4 linked regions of the Callithrix jacchus genome follow. The protein of the gene in region 4 interacts with the protein of the main gene of each other region in a pairwise test. Links are inferred from orthologs where the notes say so. Each region holds a gene or a part of one and is shown on either strand. Other genes may lie near its edges.

Region 1 (4,019 bases), on a different chromosome or scaffold from region 4:
TTTGGAGTGGTCATCACTAGGATGATGAATGTTCCATTTTTCCCTGGGCAGTTTGGCTTTGTGTCCATTGTCCTGGTATAACCATGCACCGCATCCCTTTTCACTCTCGAAAGTATCCCAGTTTGCAAGATACATTACACAGGGACTCTTTCTCGCATATCCAGGAGGGCACTGACACAGGAAAAGGTTAGGGACAAATCAGAGAGAAGCAGAACAAGAAGCGGGGCATGGTGGCCTAGAGTGACAGCCAGGCTGGCTTCAGCCAAGCTGGATCCTCTCAGAACTGGACAATAGTGGAGGGAGAGCCTGAGAATTGCTGCCCACCCTGGGGCTCAAATCGTCTTGGAGTCAGGGGCTGGTCTGGTGAGTTCTGCTTCCTGCCATCCCTCAGAGGGCCTGGAGTCATGCTGGGTGCACAAGAGACTCCGAATCAAATCCCGTCAATTCTTTACTTCCCTCTGCCTGCATCCAAAACAGAGCTGCAGCAGGGACACATGGATGCTGGAGCCCTGTAATTCCTTATTCAGCAACACACCAAACGTCATCCAGGTGCTCCTCCTGTCTCTGGCTCTCTGGCCTCTAGGACCTGACTGCTGCACAGGCAACGGCGAGTTTCCAGCAGACGTTCCAGAGGCCCACCCCACCCAGGACAGAGTGAAACAGTGGAAACTCCCTTTCCTGTCTTAGATAACCACCTGATGTAGCCCACTTGACCCCAGGCCTTTCTCCATTGACAGCCTGGGCTTTGGACACCTGTTCTAGGGGTAGAGTGTAGGGGTCCCAAAGGTCTTCTTGGAGCCTCCTCTGGGACTTAGTTACAAAAGAGATCAGGTCCGAGGTCAAATAGGGGAAGACTGAGAAACCATAAACATAAATTATCAGGGCACCCCAAACAGTACCTGACCTTCCATAATGTTTATACAAACGAAGTCTTTGGCCTCTGCTGAAGAGGAGCAAAGGGTTGGGGAAGCTTTCTAACTATCATTTTTCCTCCTCCTTTCTTACCCCATTTTCAAGTTCCTTCTTTAGCTTGGTAAGGGTCCAAGTCACAGCTGATCAGGAGCAGCCAAACCCAAAGCCATGGGATCCAGCCAGAGCACAGACTGTGAATTCCCCAGCTTTTTGCAGTTTGAATCAGCCTCACAGCCTGGTTGGCCTCCCAGGACTCTTCTCAAATAGGTCCAGAGATGTTAGTGAGTGGGGGCCGTGGACTCTGCAGGGAGGGCGACTTCTGCTCAGGGTCTCTAGCACCCAAAACAAAAGCCAGGGAGAAATGCACAGTCTTACCACCTCCTGGTGGGGCTGCATGCCAGCCCTGAAGCTGTTTCAGAAAGACCCACAGTTGCCTCCAGCACTTGGACAGTGAAAGGATGGCAGAAGTCCTCTCAACACACAACACTCTCAGTTCACAGAATTGAGGCTCCAGTGTTCAGACGACCCATCTCTACCTCAGCAAACCAGCCCACTCCCCAACCTGGGTTAAAACCTCGTTTGCCGACACCATGACTTCCCTGGTCCCAGACTTTCCCAGTTTCTTCTGCTCACCCACTTCACTAGCAGAGATGGGCCGCTGACAAGACCACTAGGCAGAAATGGAATGAAAGGCTGGAAAAGCCTGCAGTGCTGAGATCCCAGGAGAGAGGTGAGATGTGGATTTATCACAAAGCCACTGTCCCTTCACAGTGACCTCCTGCTGGAATCATCCCATTGCCATTCCACAATCACTGCCGTGTTGGCGTCTGAGCCCTTGCCATGAGGAAGACCACCTTCCAGCAGGGAGCTGGAGCAGAGCCGAACTCTGCCCAGGAGAGCTTCTGCAATGCTCAGAAAATGCCTGCTCAATTGCTTGCCTGGGCTCTGGCCCCTTTGGCTGCAACTGAACCCAGACAGGAGGCTGACTCACTCACCGCACGCATAGAGGAGGAGGAGGAGGAGGAGGAGGAGGAACAGGAGGAGGAGGAGCTGAGAGAAGGGCCTGGGCTGGGAGACCCAAGTCTCCGCCAGCCCAGGCTGGGTCTCTGACTCTGGTCCCTGGGTGAAGAGAAGGAGGGACAGTTGTCCACTGGCCCTGGAGACCACAGGCTGTTCCCGCCTAGATACTTCTGAATCTTCCTCACCGCCACCTACAGAAACAGGGCACCTCGCTTCCCAAACAGAAACCACTCCCTGAGCCCCTTCCTCATTTAAATGCTTGCCCCTGAGATCCTCTGAACATCTATTGACAGGCTGTCTTGGAAAAACAGGGCGATTTAAGTCTAAAATCATTGGTAGTTCAAAGAAAAATCAAGAAAAAAATTACTTAAAAGACCCAACTCCACCATCGCAGGTGACCGTACCTGAGCCCTGTGAGATAAATGAGGCTACACGCCCTCCGCTCCGCAGCCCTGAGCGCCATCGACAGCCAATCGCTCCTTTTCTTGTTCCTCACTCCATGCCAAGGCGCCCCGGCAGAGGAAGGAAACAAATGCTTCTTGTTGCCCAAGTGCTGAGCCCGGCGCTGGCGGAGCATTTCTCCTTTAAGCTGCCTGAGCACTGAGGATGTCGCCACCCTCCTCCCCAGCCTGGCACGAACTTCGGCTTTCTCAAACCTCAGTGCCCCCTTAGTGTCCCAGCCTCATGGCACAGCAGCCGGGATCTCGGTCGCCAAGTTTACCGCGGAGACTTGGACTCTAATGCTCGCACCCGTGCACTCACGCCCCGGTACCCCCGACGCCCCGACCTCGAGCCCCTATCCTGAGACCCCCTTCCGTACTTCTCCCGGGTCCGCACCTGGTCCCGCCGGCGGGTGGACAAGCTGTTCCGCGCTCCCGGCGCCCACGGCTCGGCAGCCGCCTTTTGACAAGCAGAGACAGCCCAGCACCTGGCCCCGCCCCTCGAGCGGGCCCCGCCCCTTTCCCCGCCCCTCGAGCAGGCCCCGCCCCTTCCCCGCCCCTCAAGCAGGCCCCGCCCCGCCCTCGGCCCCGCCCACAGGTCCCGTCCTCTCCTGCCTGGAGTTCGGTCTGCCCCGCAACCATCTTGACTTGGAATCATCCGCCCCGCTGTCGCCTTAGAGACTCTGCCTCGTGAAACTTTCATCGACCGTCGCCCATGGGGCAAGGTTCGCTCCTGCCCTGTGCGGGACAGAGTTGCCGATGAATACAGAGGAGCAGATCCCCGCCTCAGCCTGCGTTATTCGGGGACGCAGCCCCCCACCCTTCCAGCCTGCTGCGGACCCCGGGCCGGGTGCGTCACCCCCACCTGGGCCCGCGGGACGCTGGGGGGCGCCTGCCGACGGGCACGGGTGGGAAATCGCGTTCCTGCTGCAGAAAGCCGGGAAGCTCAGCCTGATCCCGCAGACGGGGGTAAAAGATCCCGGGGGCCCAAGTGGAAACTGGAGTCGCGTCATCGCCCCCACCGAGGTCACCTCAGCAGCGACCGCGGCTGACCACGTTCCCGGCCTGTCGCGAATTTCACCCAAGGGAGCTGAGTCTCAGCTTCCCTGGTCCCCAGTCCCCAGTTCCCCCTTCCCCGCCGTGGCATCGGCCTGAAGGGAAGAGATAAAGAATCCATCCTGTGTGTGGCTGCGGAAAATACACACAGAAAAGTTGGGCTAAAAGTTACTCACTGCTCCCCTTGACGGTGTGCTAGGCACCGCCCTAGGTGCCAGGGGAGAGGTGAAAAAGATGGGGTTCCCTCCTTCTCAGAACTCACTGTGCAGTGGGAGAATGTACAAATAAGTAGTAATCACAACATAATCTTCTGGAATAGAAATGCCCACAAAATCATCCAGCAGCTGATGATTAGCCAGAGAAGATATCGCTATTCCCCTCTTACAGAGGAGGAAACCATGGCTTAGAGGGTCAACGTGAAAGGCTGGGAAACTGAGGCATAGAAAGGTTAAGTGATTTGCCCGACATGACAGCTTATCAGTGAGGACTAGTGCTAGAGCCCAGCAAGTCTGCTGGTGCAATGGTCTCTGAACCGTTTCTGAAACAGCTATGCTGGAGGGCATCATAACCAGCCCCTCACAACTCAATAAT
Region 2 (3,564 bases), on a different chromosome or scaffold from region 4:
CAGGGGTTGGAGAAGCAGATTCAGGGATATTGAAAAGATGAATATTTTAAATCTGCATCATCAGTCATTATGGAGATCCCTAGGGATGTGGCAAAGCACTACACTTACGTAATTGTGCTTCAGTATGTCCCTTGCCTTAACTGAGTTGAACTTAGTTAAATTGAGCTGCCTTAATTGAACTGAAAGTGCCAATAAAAATAGAACAAAAACTGCCAAAACAAATTCTGTGGATGCTGGAGCACCAGCCATATTCAGTCTCATGACAGCCAAGACTCAGCAGCTCCCTTGTCGATTTCACATATTTGTTATTTATTCTTGATTTGAAATTAAAAGCCTGGAAGAGAAGCTAATTATTAAAGGGAATCAAGGAGTCAGGCAGCGGTGGGGGTGGGGTGGGGAGGAGGAGATTTAGGTGAGCTGTTATTTTGCTGCAATTGGGACGCCACAGTATCTCAATCCTAGAGTTGGAGGGCAGTTAAATGCAGGGCAGGGCAGGATAGGGGAGGCAGACTACCCGGGCGTGGTTGTGGGGACCTAAGGAGATGTGTTCCTGCACGTGATGCTGTATGAGGAACTGAGGCTCAGAGAAATCCAGATGGTGGATAAAAGGTAGGTCCATCTGACTCCAAATTGGTGGTCTTCCTGCTCCAGCCAGGTGCCACACAGTGAGATGTAGAGGTGGCAGCAGGGGCCCTGCTGTGGCTGTCCAAGGCACGTGGTACACACAGGAGGTAGCAGAGGAGGCTTCACACACTGGCCATTCCTTTATTAAACTCTCTTTAGATGGGGAGCCCTCCCTGGGGCTAAGAGTAGAACTGCTCTCACCTTCTGACCATCTCTGTGTATCTGTTACTGCAGATGAGAAACACCATATAATGGTTTCAGGGGACTAGATATACTTGCATGGCAAGGCCATAATTATGGGCCCGGTGAGTACTTCAAGGGGACATTTAGTCTGTCTGCATTAAGCCAGGCTTCTCTTCTAGCTCTGTGATGCAGCTGGCTCTGAGAGACGAGCCCTTGGGGAGGTAAGACCATGCTTATAATAAGATCCTGCCACACATGCAGATGTCAGAGCAACCCAGATCACCTTGGAGTAGGCACGCTGTACAGCTGAGCACATGACTTCCACTCCTCTGCTCAGAGCAATGACTTGTGGCTTTTATTCTTTGTCCAGGTATGTACCCTCTGGTCACAGCAACCCAGGATGCTGAGAGCAGCCAGAAGCTGGCCCACTTGCTGAATGCCGTGACTGACGCTTTGGTCTGGGTGATCGCTAAGAGTGGCTTCTCCTCCCAGCAGCAGTCGGTGCGCCTGGCTAACCTCCTGATGCTCCTGTCCCACATCAGGCATGCGAGGTATGCGCCTTCGGGAGCTGCTCGGCTCAGGCGTGGGGTGGGATTATGTGCTCAGAGGAGGGTGAAGGGATTTGGGAAGTGTTTGAAAGCTAAGGAAAATGAATGCCTGAAAGGGAATGGGGGATTTGTCAGCTTACACACCTGTAACCAAAGATGGGCAGAGTGGGCATTGAAGGAATGTCACGTGGTATCTTTCAGGATCTTCACAGCATCCAGTGGTGGCTCATCTGTTTTTCAGTTGCTGGGTTTATAGCCTGTTTATGGAGTCCTAAAAGGGGCAGTTCCTCCCCTTACATGAACTGCCACCCCTCTTTATACCACCCAGGGCTGAGGCCCTGAAGTCATTTTTTTGTGGAGAGGCTCAGACCTCTACTAGATGGCCCTTTAAGCTGGTGATATGGAGAAGTGCACAAAGGCTTCCCTAAGAGTTGTTCTTTTGATGGCATCAGGAAATTAAGGACAAGACCTAAGAGAAGTGGTATGCCCAACAGATGTAGGAAGGCAGAGCTGAGGGTATGGCATGTTTCTGATCAGGAAATGTAATGGTGTGTGGTGGTGGCTACTGCCAGGACAGTGATGCTCAGTGCTTGGTGTCACCCAGAATGGAGGGTAGACTTACCCTGGAGCTCGAGGAGGGAAGTCGAGAAGGGAAGGTAATTAAGTGCTCACTGAGGAGCAAGTATAAAGACTGTGGGGAAGGACGATATATACCCCAAGAATCTTCTTTTTTTTTTGAGATGGAGTTTTACTCTTGTTGCCCAGACTGGAATGCAATGGCGCCATCTTGGCTCACTGCAACCTCCGCCTCCTGAGTTTGAGGGATTCTCCTGCCTCAGCCTCCCAAGTAGCTGGGATTACAGGCATGTGCCACCATACCCAGCTAATTTTGTATTTTTAGCAGAGATGGGGTTTCACCAGGTTGGTCAGGCTGGTCTCGAACTCCCGATCTCAGGTGATTTACCCGCCTTAGCCTCCCAAAGTGCTGGGATTACAGGCTTGAGCCACCACACTTGGCCTTCACCTCAATAATCTTAAAAAGCAAGAGGAGAGGAAGAAGACTTCTGCCTGTTTCCCCTTTAATGGTTACTCAGCACACAACCATTTTGTTTGTAGATACACTTGATCCTGTGTTTGTAGATTCCTTAATTGTGAATTTATCTGCTTCCTAAAATTTACTTGTAACCCCCAAATCAGTATTCATGGTGTGTTTTTGAGGTCATTAACAGTGGCAAAAATTTTGAGTCACCCTCTATGCACAGTCCCAGCTGAGATGGAACAAGCAGCTGCTCTCCTACTGTAAACAAGTGTCCTTTATTTGGTCTACTTAGCGTCATGGTTTTACATTTTTGTGCTTTTGGTGGGCAACTTCACTGTTTAAATGGGGCCCCTGGTGTGGTGCTGAAGAGCTGTCTAGTGTTCCTCAGTGTGAAAAAGCTGTGATGTGCCTTATGGAGCAAGTATGTGTTAGATACGCTTTGTTCGAGCCTGAGTTACAGTGCTGTTGGCCATGAGCCTAATGTTAATGAGTCAACGATATTAGATGAGGCATCTTTAAAAAGAAACACACATGCAACAAGGTTTTGTGATTAGCCAATGAAGATGTGACCAGAGGCTTGCAGGAACCTAACCCCGTGTTTCCCCTAGGAGTGATAATTCAGTGTTCACAGTGACGTTGTGGAACATAATTGCTGCAAATAATGAGAATCGACTGTCCTATGTGCCAGGCCATTGCGGGTGTGTGGTGGGGCACAGAGGCTGATAGGACACTCCTTGCCCTTGAGCATAAATTATCAGGGGGAGCTGGATGCATGTGCCATGGAGCAATGGGCTGGCAGAAGTGTGGGATTAGGGGTGGGGTAGACTGGCTGTGCGCAAAGAGAACTGGGGAAGGGTTTGGTGTCCTGTGGCTATCTCAGAGGAGGGAATCTCAGCACCTTTTTGTCCCCATAGTAACAAGGGCATGGAACATCTGCTCAGCATGAAGTGCAAAAATGTGGTCCCAGTGTATGACCTGCTGCTGGAGATGATGAATGCCCACGTGGTTCGCGGGTGCAAGTCCTCCATCACGGGGTCCGAGTGCAGCCCGGCAGAGGACAGTAAAAGCACAGAGGGCTCCCAGAACCCACAGTCTCCGTGACGCCTGGCCCTGAGGTGAACAGGCCCACAGAGGTCACAGGCTGAAGCGTGAACTCGAGTGTGTTGGGAG
Region 3 (3,564 bases), about 60 Mb from region 4:
GCTGGGGCTTAGATTTGGCAGGGGGGAAGTGGTGTAAGAGGGGCCCCCTGGCTTAAGAGTCATTTTTCTGAGAAGTACCAATGCTTTAGGGAAGCAGCTTTTCCTCCCCCTCCCTCTTCCCCACAAGCACACGTTCTCTGCATCTTGACCTCAGGTAACCCTCACTGGGGGAAGGAGGGCCAGGTGCCTGCTTCTACTATAGTGATCCCTTGAGGTGGCACTGTGGACTCTTTCCCCTCAGGATTGGTGGGGAGAGGGCCTTCAAGTCTCTGAGTTCTGTCCGTGTCTCCCCAGCCTGCCTGTGCTATCCTGCCACCCCTAGCAGTGTCTGGGCCCTGCTTCCAGGTCATCTCTGCCAGCCAGGCATGGTGCCAGCTGTCTGCTCAGCTGGGTGCCACGGGAAAATATCCAGCAGCTCAGGTCGGGGAGCTCCACGGGGAATGCCCATGTGCCTGTTCCTCAGTGCCCACTCACCTGTCTTTCTTCTTTCTGCAGCATCACAGGACATGGCCCCCTCAGCCGCCTAGCTGGGGCCCATCTAGGAGTGGGATCTTTTTTGGTGCCCTGAAGGCCAGCTCTGGACCTTCCCAGGAAAGTGCCAGCTCACAGAACTGCTTGACCAAAGGACCGGCTCTTGAGACATCCCCCAACCCACCTGGCCCCCAGCTAGGGTGGGGCTCCAGGAGACTGAGATTAGAGGACAGCAGCTCCAGGACAGGGCGGGTGGGTTGACCACCCAAACCCCGTCTGGGCCCAGGCCCCATGCCCCGAGGAGGGGCGGTCTGAAGCCCACCAGAGCCCCCTGCCAGACTGTCTGCCTCCCTTCTGACTGTGGCCGCCTGGCATGGCCAGCAACAGCAGCTCCTGCCCGACACCTGGGGCCGGGCACCTCAATGGGTACCCGGTGCCTCCCTACGCCTTCTTCTTCCCTCCTATGCTGGGTGGACTCTCCCCACCAGGCGCTCTGACCACTCTCCAGCACCAGCTTCCAGTTAGTGGATATAGCACACCATCCCCAGCCAGTAAGTCTGGGTGTCGGGGGAAAGGGGGTGGGAGGGGACCGTGGAGGGCGGTGGGCCTCAGAGCTTGGGCTCTGGACATGTCTGTTCTGCTGTGAGTGGAAGGCACGGTGCTCTGCATCTTCTCCAGTTGGGGTGACCGTCCTTTGAGATCTTGAAAATGAAAGCCCTATGGCCTTTAGGCCAATCATGGTGGCTGTGTTTGAAGTTGGGGGTGGCAGAGGGGGAGATGAAGCCATGCTATTCTGGCCTGCAGTGGCGCTCACACCCCTCTTCTGTGCTATGCTGTTGGGGCCTTATAAAATAGCTCCAAGGACTGGACACAGAGGCTGGAGGTGGGTAAACAAACCTCTTGATGTTTGATGGAAATGGCAGCTCTACCTAGAGTGAGAGCAGCACACCACCTACGCCCCACCCTGACTCGGTGCCTCTGAGGGAAAGGGCTTCAAGGAGCAGACGGAGGAAGGCTGGCTGGAACCCCACCTCTACCCCTGCCAGCTCCACCCCCTGGCTATGCTAGGATGTGCTTCCTTTTGTGGGGAGGATGAGAGGGAGGGGCCCATGGTCTGGCCGGGTGAATAGGGTGAGTGTCCCAGGAGGGGACACTTGGCCTGGACTCTGGCCCCGGATGCATGCGTGGTCTTGGCAGGGCATGTGTTTTCTTTGTCTCCACCCTCTGCCATGGGGGGGTCACTCGTTGGCAGGGCAGGGGTCTCAGTACCCTTCGCTGGCTGGCCGAGCCAGGTAGTGGGAGGTGGCAGCAGCTATGGCCAGCTGGCAGAGTCCAGGGCTGGGGCCTGCCAGGCCGCTTACAGTAACTCTGGCCCCCAGGGCCCAGCTGGGCGCCAGGCCAGAGCTGGGGGGAGGAGGGAGCAGGGGCCTGGCCTGGGACAGGAGGGGGTGGAAGCAGCAGAATGGGTCATGGGCTGCTGGCTGGCCAGCCAGTCAGCTGTTGACCTGAGAAATGTGTCCCACCTCTTCTGGCCGGCAGGGACTGCACACCCTGCCCTGGGCACCCACCACCCTCTCAGGCTGTGGGCAAGCTGCCTGGCACCACTGCCCTGTGTGCCTGGCTGGGCTGGGTCAGTGCCCCCCTCTCAGTATGGGGGCAGCGCTCTCTCCCCGGAGCCAGGGAGTCTCTTTGTCCCTGGGGCAGGCCCTGGCTGGGCGCCTCACTGCCCGCACTGGCTGGCTGCCCACCGCCACCACTGCTTCCTGGATTGCCTCCTCTGGCTTAGCTGTGGCCCCCTCCCTCCCAGACTCCACCAGCCACCAGGAGCAGGGGCTCTATGTCTGTGTTCTTTACGTTCCCCACCCTTTCTGCTCTGGGGCCAGTGGGCAGGCAGGTGCTGTCTCAGTTTCTCTTGCCACCCCTTATCAAACCTTTGTCTTCTGTTTCTGCTGTCTCTTCTCTTCACCTCACGTAGGAGTGTGGGATGGATAGAAACTGGGGACTCTGATTTTTGTTTGGTCCTCCAGTCTGTGTTAGTGATGGATAGAGGCCAGCCTCTGGGGTTTAGGGTTGCTGGGGAATGAGTTGGTGTATCTTTGTAGAATATTCACTGCATTTAAAGGGACTGTGATTTATATTCTGGGATTGGGCCACTGGAACTAGAAGAATGTCTAGCTTCCTGACAGGGTAGGATTTTATTTTTACTTTTTAAGGCAGGGTCTTGCTCTGTCATCCAGGCTGGAGTGTAGTGGCACCATCTTGGCTTACTGTAGTCTCTGCCTCCCAGGTTCCAGAGATTCTCATGCCTCTGGCTCCCAAATAGCTGTGATTATAGGTGGGTGCCATGTACCCAGCTAAATTTTTGGTATTTTTAGTAGAGATGGGGTTTTATCATGTTGGCCAGGCCAGTCTTGGACTCGTGCCCTCAAGTCATCTGCCTGCCTCAGCCTCCCAAAGTGTTGGGATTACAGGTGTGAGCCACCACGCCTGGCTTTCTTTTTTTTACATAGGGTTTCACTCTGTCTCCCAGGTGGGAGTGCATTAACATGATCACAGCTCACTGCAGGCTTGATCTCTTGGGCTTAAGGTATCCTTGGGCTTAAGGCATCCTTGGGAGTAGCTGGGACTACAGGTGTGCATCACCGCACCAGGCTAATTTTTTGATTTTTCAGAGACAAGGTCTTACCATGTTGCCCAGGCTGGTCTCAAACTCCTGAGCTCAAGCAGTCCTCCTGCCTTCGCCTCAAAGTGCTGGAGATATAGGCATGTGCCACTGCATCCAGCTCAGGGTAAGATTTTTGAGAGAGGAGAAGTTGGGGACCTGCGACCTGGTGCTTGTGGACAACTTGTCCTAACCCAGGTAATGGCAACAGAGTTCCCAGACACTCTCTCCACCTGCAGCCTGGGCTCACTGAAGGGTTGGAGGTGGGGGCAGGGGCCTGGCCCGTCCTTGCCCATCCTGGCCAGAGGGAGCAAATGCTTTGCCCTCCCCTGAATGTTGCAAGCTTCTTCCTCTTTCTTAGAGATGGGTGGGGAGGGCTTCCCATCCTGGTAACCTTCTCCCCAAATATGGGTGGGGTGCCCACATTTCAG
Region 4 (3,564 bases):
TCTGAAGGTTAAAAATCACCCACAAGCTGATTGAAGCCTCTCTCTCCACACCTGCACCTTTCACCCTGACTCCCAGCTCAGACCCACATCTGCCTCCATGCTGTTCCCCAACAGCCCGGCCGAGCAGGCAGCGGCAGTGCGATTCTGCCATCTCGAACGCATCCTCAGATCCCTTGTCCCCTGGGTTGTCCCAGTCTTTTCGTGATGCCTCCCACGAACTGTTGGTTCCTGAGGAAGACAGAGGGAGCACCGGTTCCAAGCCGCCTCCACTCTGAACTGCTCTGTGGCCTTGGACACGTCACATCCCCTCTCTCGACTGTCTCCCCATCAGTGAAATGGGGGCAAGGAAGTGATGATCTCCAAAGGTGCCTCAGGTCTAAGGAGGCAGGGTTTGAGGGGTACTCATCCTACTGCCCAGCCTGGGAGCAGCGGCAGAGGATCCATCTCGGCTGCCTCTGCCTACAGGTGTTTCCAGAATGGATGGCAAGGGGCAGGATGGTGAGCAGGCGGGGCCAGGGGCCCATCGCTCCTCTTTGGAAAGGCTCTTTGGCCAGCTCTCGAGACAGATTGGGGGTGGCACGGAAGTGGGCAAGGAGTTCAGTGAGTGGAGTAGGCTGAGGCTGGAAAAGGCCATCCTCAGGCCCGGCCCCAGCCCTTCTCCCGGTTCCTCCTCCAGAGACCCACAGAGCTCCAGGAGGGAGTGCAAGGAGGGGCGTGTGGCTAGAGTGGGCGCTGGACAGTCACTGTGCTGGTCTCACACGCCTGCCGCCCTCTCAGGCCACCCTAGGTCCGGAAGCCCCTTCCATGCCGCCAAAGAGGGAGGGGCCTCGAGCCTGGCAATTCAGCCCCACAGAGAGAGGACCAACAGCAGGCAGGCAGAGCAGGGCGAGCCCCAAGACAGGGGCCACCCAGCCCAGGATCCAAGCCGAGAAGCCAGTCTGGGCCCGCCCGTGCCTAGAGGTTCTCTCCAGGCTGGTACTGGGGCTCAGTGGACGTGAAGTAGTCCTCCAGAAAGGCCTGCAGGTACTCGAAAGTGGGCCGCTCCTCAGGCTCTTTCCGCCAGCACTGGCACATGAGGTCGTGCAGGGACTCAGGACACTCGGGCGGGCAGGGCATCCGGTAGCCCCGCTCCACCTGGTCCAGCACCTCTCGGTTCACCATCCCTGTGGGCAGAGTGAGGCATGGGAAGCCTGGCTCCAGTAAGGAAAGTGGGGTGCGGGAAGCTGATGGGGAGGATGGTGAGGGCTTCCTGCCTAGGCCAGGTTGGGTGCAACCATGGGTAGGTCCCGTCCCCGAAGCTGAGAGCATGGACCATCAGGAGAGCCTAAGATCAGGTGCTCAACTTCTTTGTTGTATGGATGGGGAAACAGGCCCAGCAGGAGTCAGGTCTTACCCAAGGCCACCAGGGCAAGGGCTCAGGGACTAGAGACGGGCCGGGAGGACCTTCTTACCAGGGTAGGGCACCCGCCCCTTTGTGGTGAGCTCCGTCAGCAGGATCCCGAAGGACCACACATCCGACTTGATGGTGAACCGGCCATAGAGGGCAGCTTCCGGAGCCGTCCACTTGATGGGGAATTTGGCACCTGCAGGAACGAAAAAGGTCAGGGCAGCTCTGACCTGTCGTGACTGCTCCACCAGGTGAGCACCATGAGGAATGACAGATAAGGAAACTGAGGCTTGGGAGAGGACGTGACCTGCCCCAGGCTGCACGCCCCGTGCCACGAAGCCCCTGCCCACCTTGCCGGGCTGTGTACTCATTGTCTTCGATGAGCCGAGCCAGCCCGAAGTCGGCCACTTTGCACACCAAGTTCTCTCCCACCAGGATGTTGGCTGCACGAAGGTCCCGATGGACGTAGTTCATCCGCTCAACATATGCCATGCCAGAGGCGATCTGCAGGCAAAACCATGGGAGCCCAGCTCAGGTGCCACCCATGCCCTCCCAGGACCACAGGGCACCCAGGGCTGGAGAGCCATCCACCCCTCCCCCACCATCCCATGCTTCTTCAGGCAAGTGAGGTCAGTTCACGGTAAATGCTGTTGGCATCAAAAGCAGGAGCAGTGCTCCGCAGGAGGAGGGAGCACAGGGGCAGAGGGGAGAGAGCAAAGGGCAATGGGGAGGCCCGAGATCAGATGCAGCCAGGAAAGTGAGGTGACCATGGAAAGAGGCCCCAGCGGACCCAGACACAGACAAGTGGACAAGTGCCATGCCCTGCCTGCTGCCCAAGTCTCCTCTCTGAGCCTGTTTTCTCATCCATCCAATGGGAATAATAGCCAATCCTCGTCACTCCTGATGAAAAATGCTTGTCAAGCACTGCCTAAAGTCAGCACAAACACATGTCTGCTGAGTGACTAAATGACTATTGAGATGACAACTGAGTACATCAGTTGTACTGATGTACAGGGGACCTCGGGCCTCAGTTGTCATCTCTATAAAGGTGACCCCTGATATTAGTCAGTGACCCCTGATGCCCAGGTAAGGGCTTTCTGCTGCCCAGAACCACCGCTTAGGGTGCCTGTAAGTGGACCTGGTAAATACGTGTGGCAAGATCAGTGAGTGTGGGGGTAATCAAGGCAGGCTTCCTGGAGGGGGCACTCAAGAGGCCAGAACTGGCTGCACCAGATGGGTCTGGGTGCTTGAGGACCAAGGGTGTGGGGAGAAGGGAGGGGCTGACTAACCTGAGCAGCCATGTCCACCAGCTGAGGCAGCCGCAGGTACTTGCCCGTTTCCCCCTTGAGAAAGTCCAGCAAACTCCCTGGGCAGAGAAAGACCCAGCTCCAGTTCCTGCCCTGTCCCTCTGCCAGGATGCAGTGATTCCCAAACCTGTCCTCCCAGGTGGCTAGCCTTGCTATAACCAGCACAACAGATTTTATGTAAACTCATCTCTCAATAAAGTGCTTGTCACTCAAAAGGCAAGCAGGTTGGGAAACGACCAGATGCGCACCTCCAGGTGAACAGGTAAACTGTGTTAATGCGGACAATGGCGTCCTGCTCAGCGACAACGGGAACTAACTGCTGGGAGATGCCACAGGGACGCATCTCAGGCTGGGCACGGTGGCTCCTGCCTGCAATCCCAGCACTTTGGGAGACCAAGGCGGGAAGATCATTTAAGCCCAGGAGTTTGAGACCAGCCTGAGCTACACAGTACAAAAGATATAAACAAAAAAAAAAATTAGCTGGGCGTGGTAGGGTACACCTATAGTCCCGGCCACTTGAGAGGCTGAGATGGGAGGATCAATTGAGCCTGGGAGGTCAAGGCTGCACTGAGCTGTGATCACGCCACTGCACTCCAGCCTGGGCAACAGAGTGAGTCCTTGTATCAAAAAAATTTAAAACATTTAAAATTTAAAAAGTTAAAAAAAAAAGGATGCATCCCAGATGTAAAATATTTCATGTATGAAATTCTTGAATAAACAAAACAGATTGATAATGACAAAGTATATCAGTGGGTGCTTGGGTTTGGGGTTGGAGGGTGCTGTCTGCAAAGGGCCCAAGGAACTTTCTGGGTGATGGGGCTGTTGCTATCCCCATTATGGTGAGAGCACACAGTAAACCCACTTGTTACA

Evidence for each region.
Region 1: the proteins of SRC (region 4) and VDR interact in a two-hybrid assay, tested with the Homo sapiens proteins (2 studies listed by BioGRID). The link is inferred for Callithrix jacchus from reciprocal best matches to the Homo sapiens genes SRC and VDR.
Region 2: the proteins of SRC (region 4) and ESR2 interact in a two-hybrid assay, tested with the Homo sapiens proteins (2 studies listed by BioGRID). The link is inferred for Callithrix jacchus from reciprocal best matches to the Homo sapiens genes SRC and ESR2.
Region 3: the proteins of SRC (region 4) and RARA interact in a two-hybrid assay, tested with the Homo sapiens proteins (2 studies listed by BioGRID). The link is inferred for Callithrix jacchus from reciprocal best matches to the Homo sapiens genes SRC and RARA.

What each region holds. Positions count from the first base shown.
Region 1 is NC_133510.1:2,199,097-2,203,115, forward strand, and holds the start of VDR (vitamin D3 receptor), read right to left. Parts: upstream 2,810-4,019; 5' UTR 2,337-2,809; intron 1,879-2,336; exon of another isoform or gene 1,546-1,878; intron 659-1,545; exon of another isoform or gene 584-658; intron 1-583.
Region 2 is NC_133509.1:98,892,799-98,896,362, reverse strand, and holds part of ESR2 (estrogen receptor beta), read left to right. Parts: intron 1-1,177; coding exon 1,178-1,358; intron 1,359-3,308; coding exon 3,309-3,495; 3' UTR 3,496-3,564.
Region 3 is NC_133506.1:92,929,823-92,933,386, reverse strand, and holds part of RARA (retinoic acid receptor alpha), read left to right. Parts: intron 1-495; 5' UTR 496-844; coding exon 845-1,022; intron 1,023-3,564. UniProt on the Homo sapiens protein: Receptor for retinoic acid. Retinoic acid receptors bind as heterodimers to their target response elements in response to their ligands, all-trans or 9-cis retinoic acid, and regulate gene expression in various biological processes.
Region 4 is NC_133506.1:32,839,210-32,842,773, reverse strand, and holds part of SRC (proto-oncogene tyrosine-protein kinase Src), read right to left. Parts: intron 2,754-3,564; coding exon 2,677-2,753; intron 1,892-2,676; coding exon 1,738-1,891; intron 1,584-1,737; coding exon 1,452-1,583; intron 1,164-1,451; coding exon 955-1,163; 3' UTR 1-954. UniProt on the Homo sapiens protein: Non-receptor protein tyrosine kinase which is activated following engagement of many different classes of cellular receptors including immune response receptors, integrins and other adhesion receptors, receptor protein tyrosine kinases, G protein-coupled receptors as well as cytokine receptors.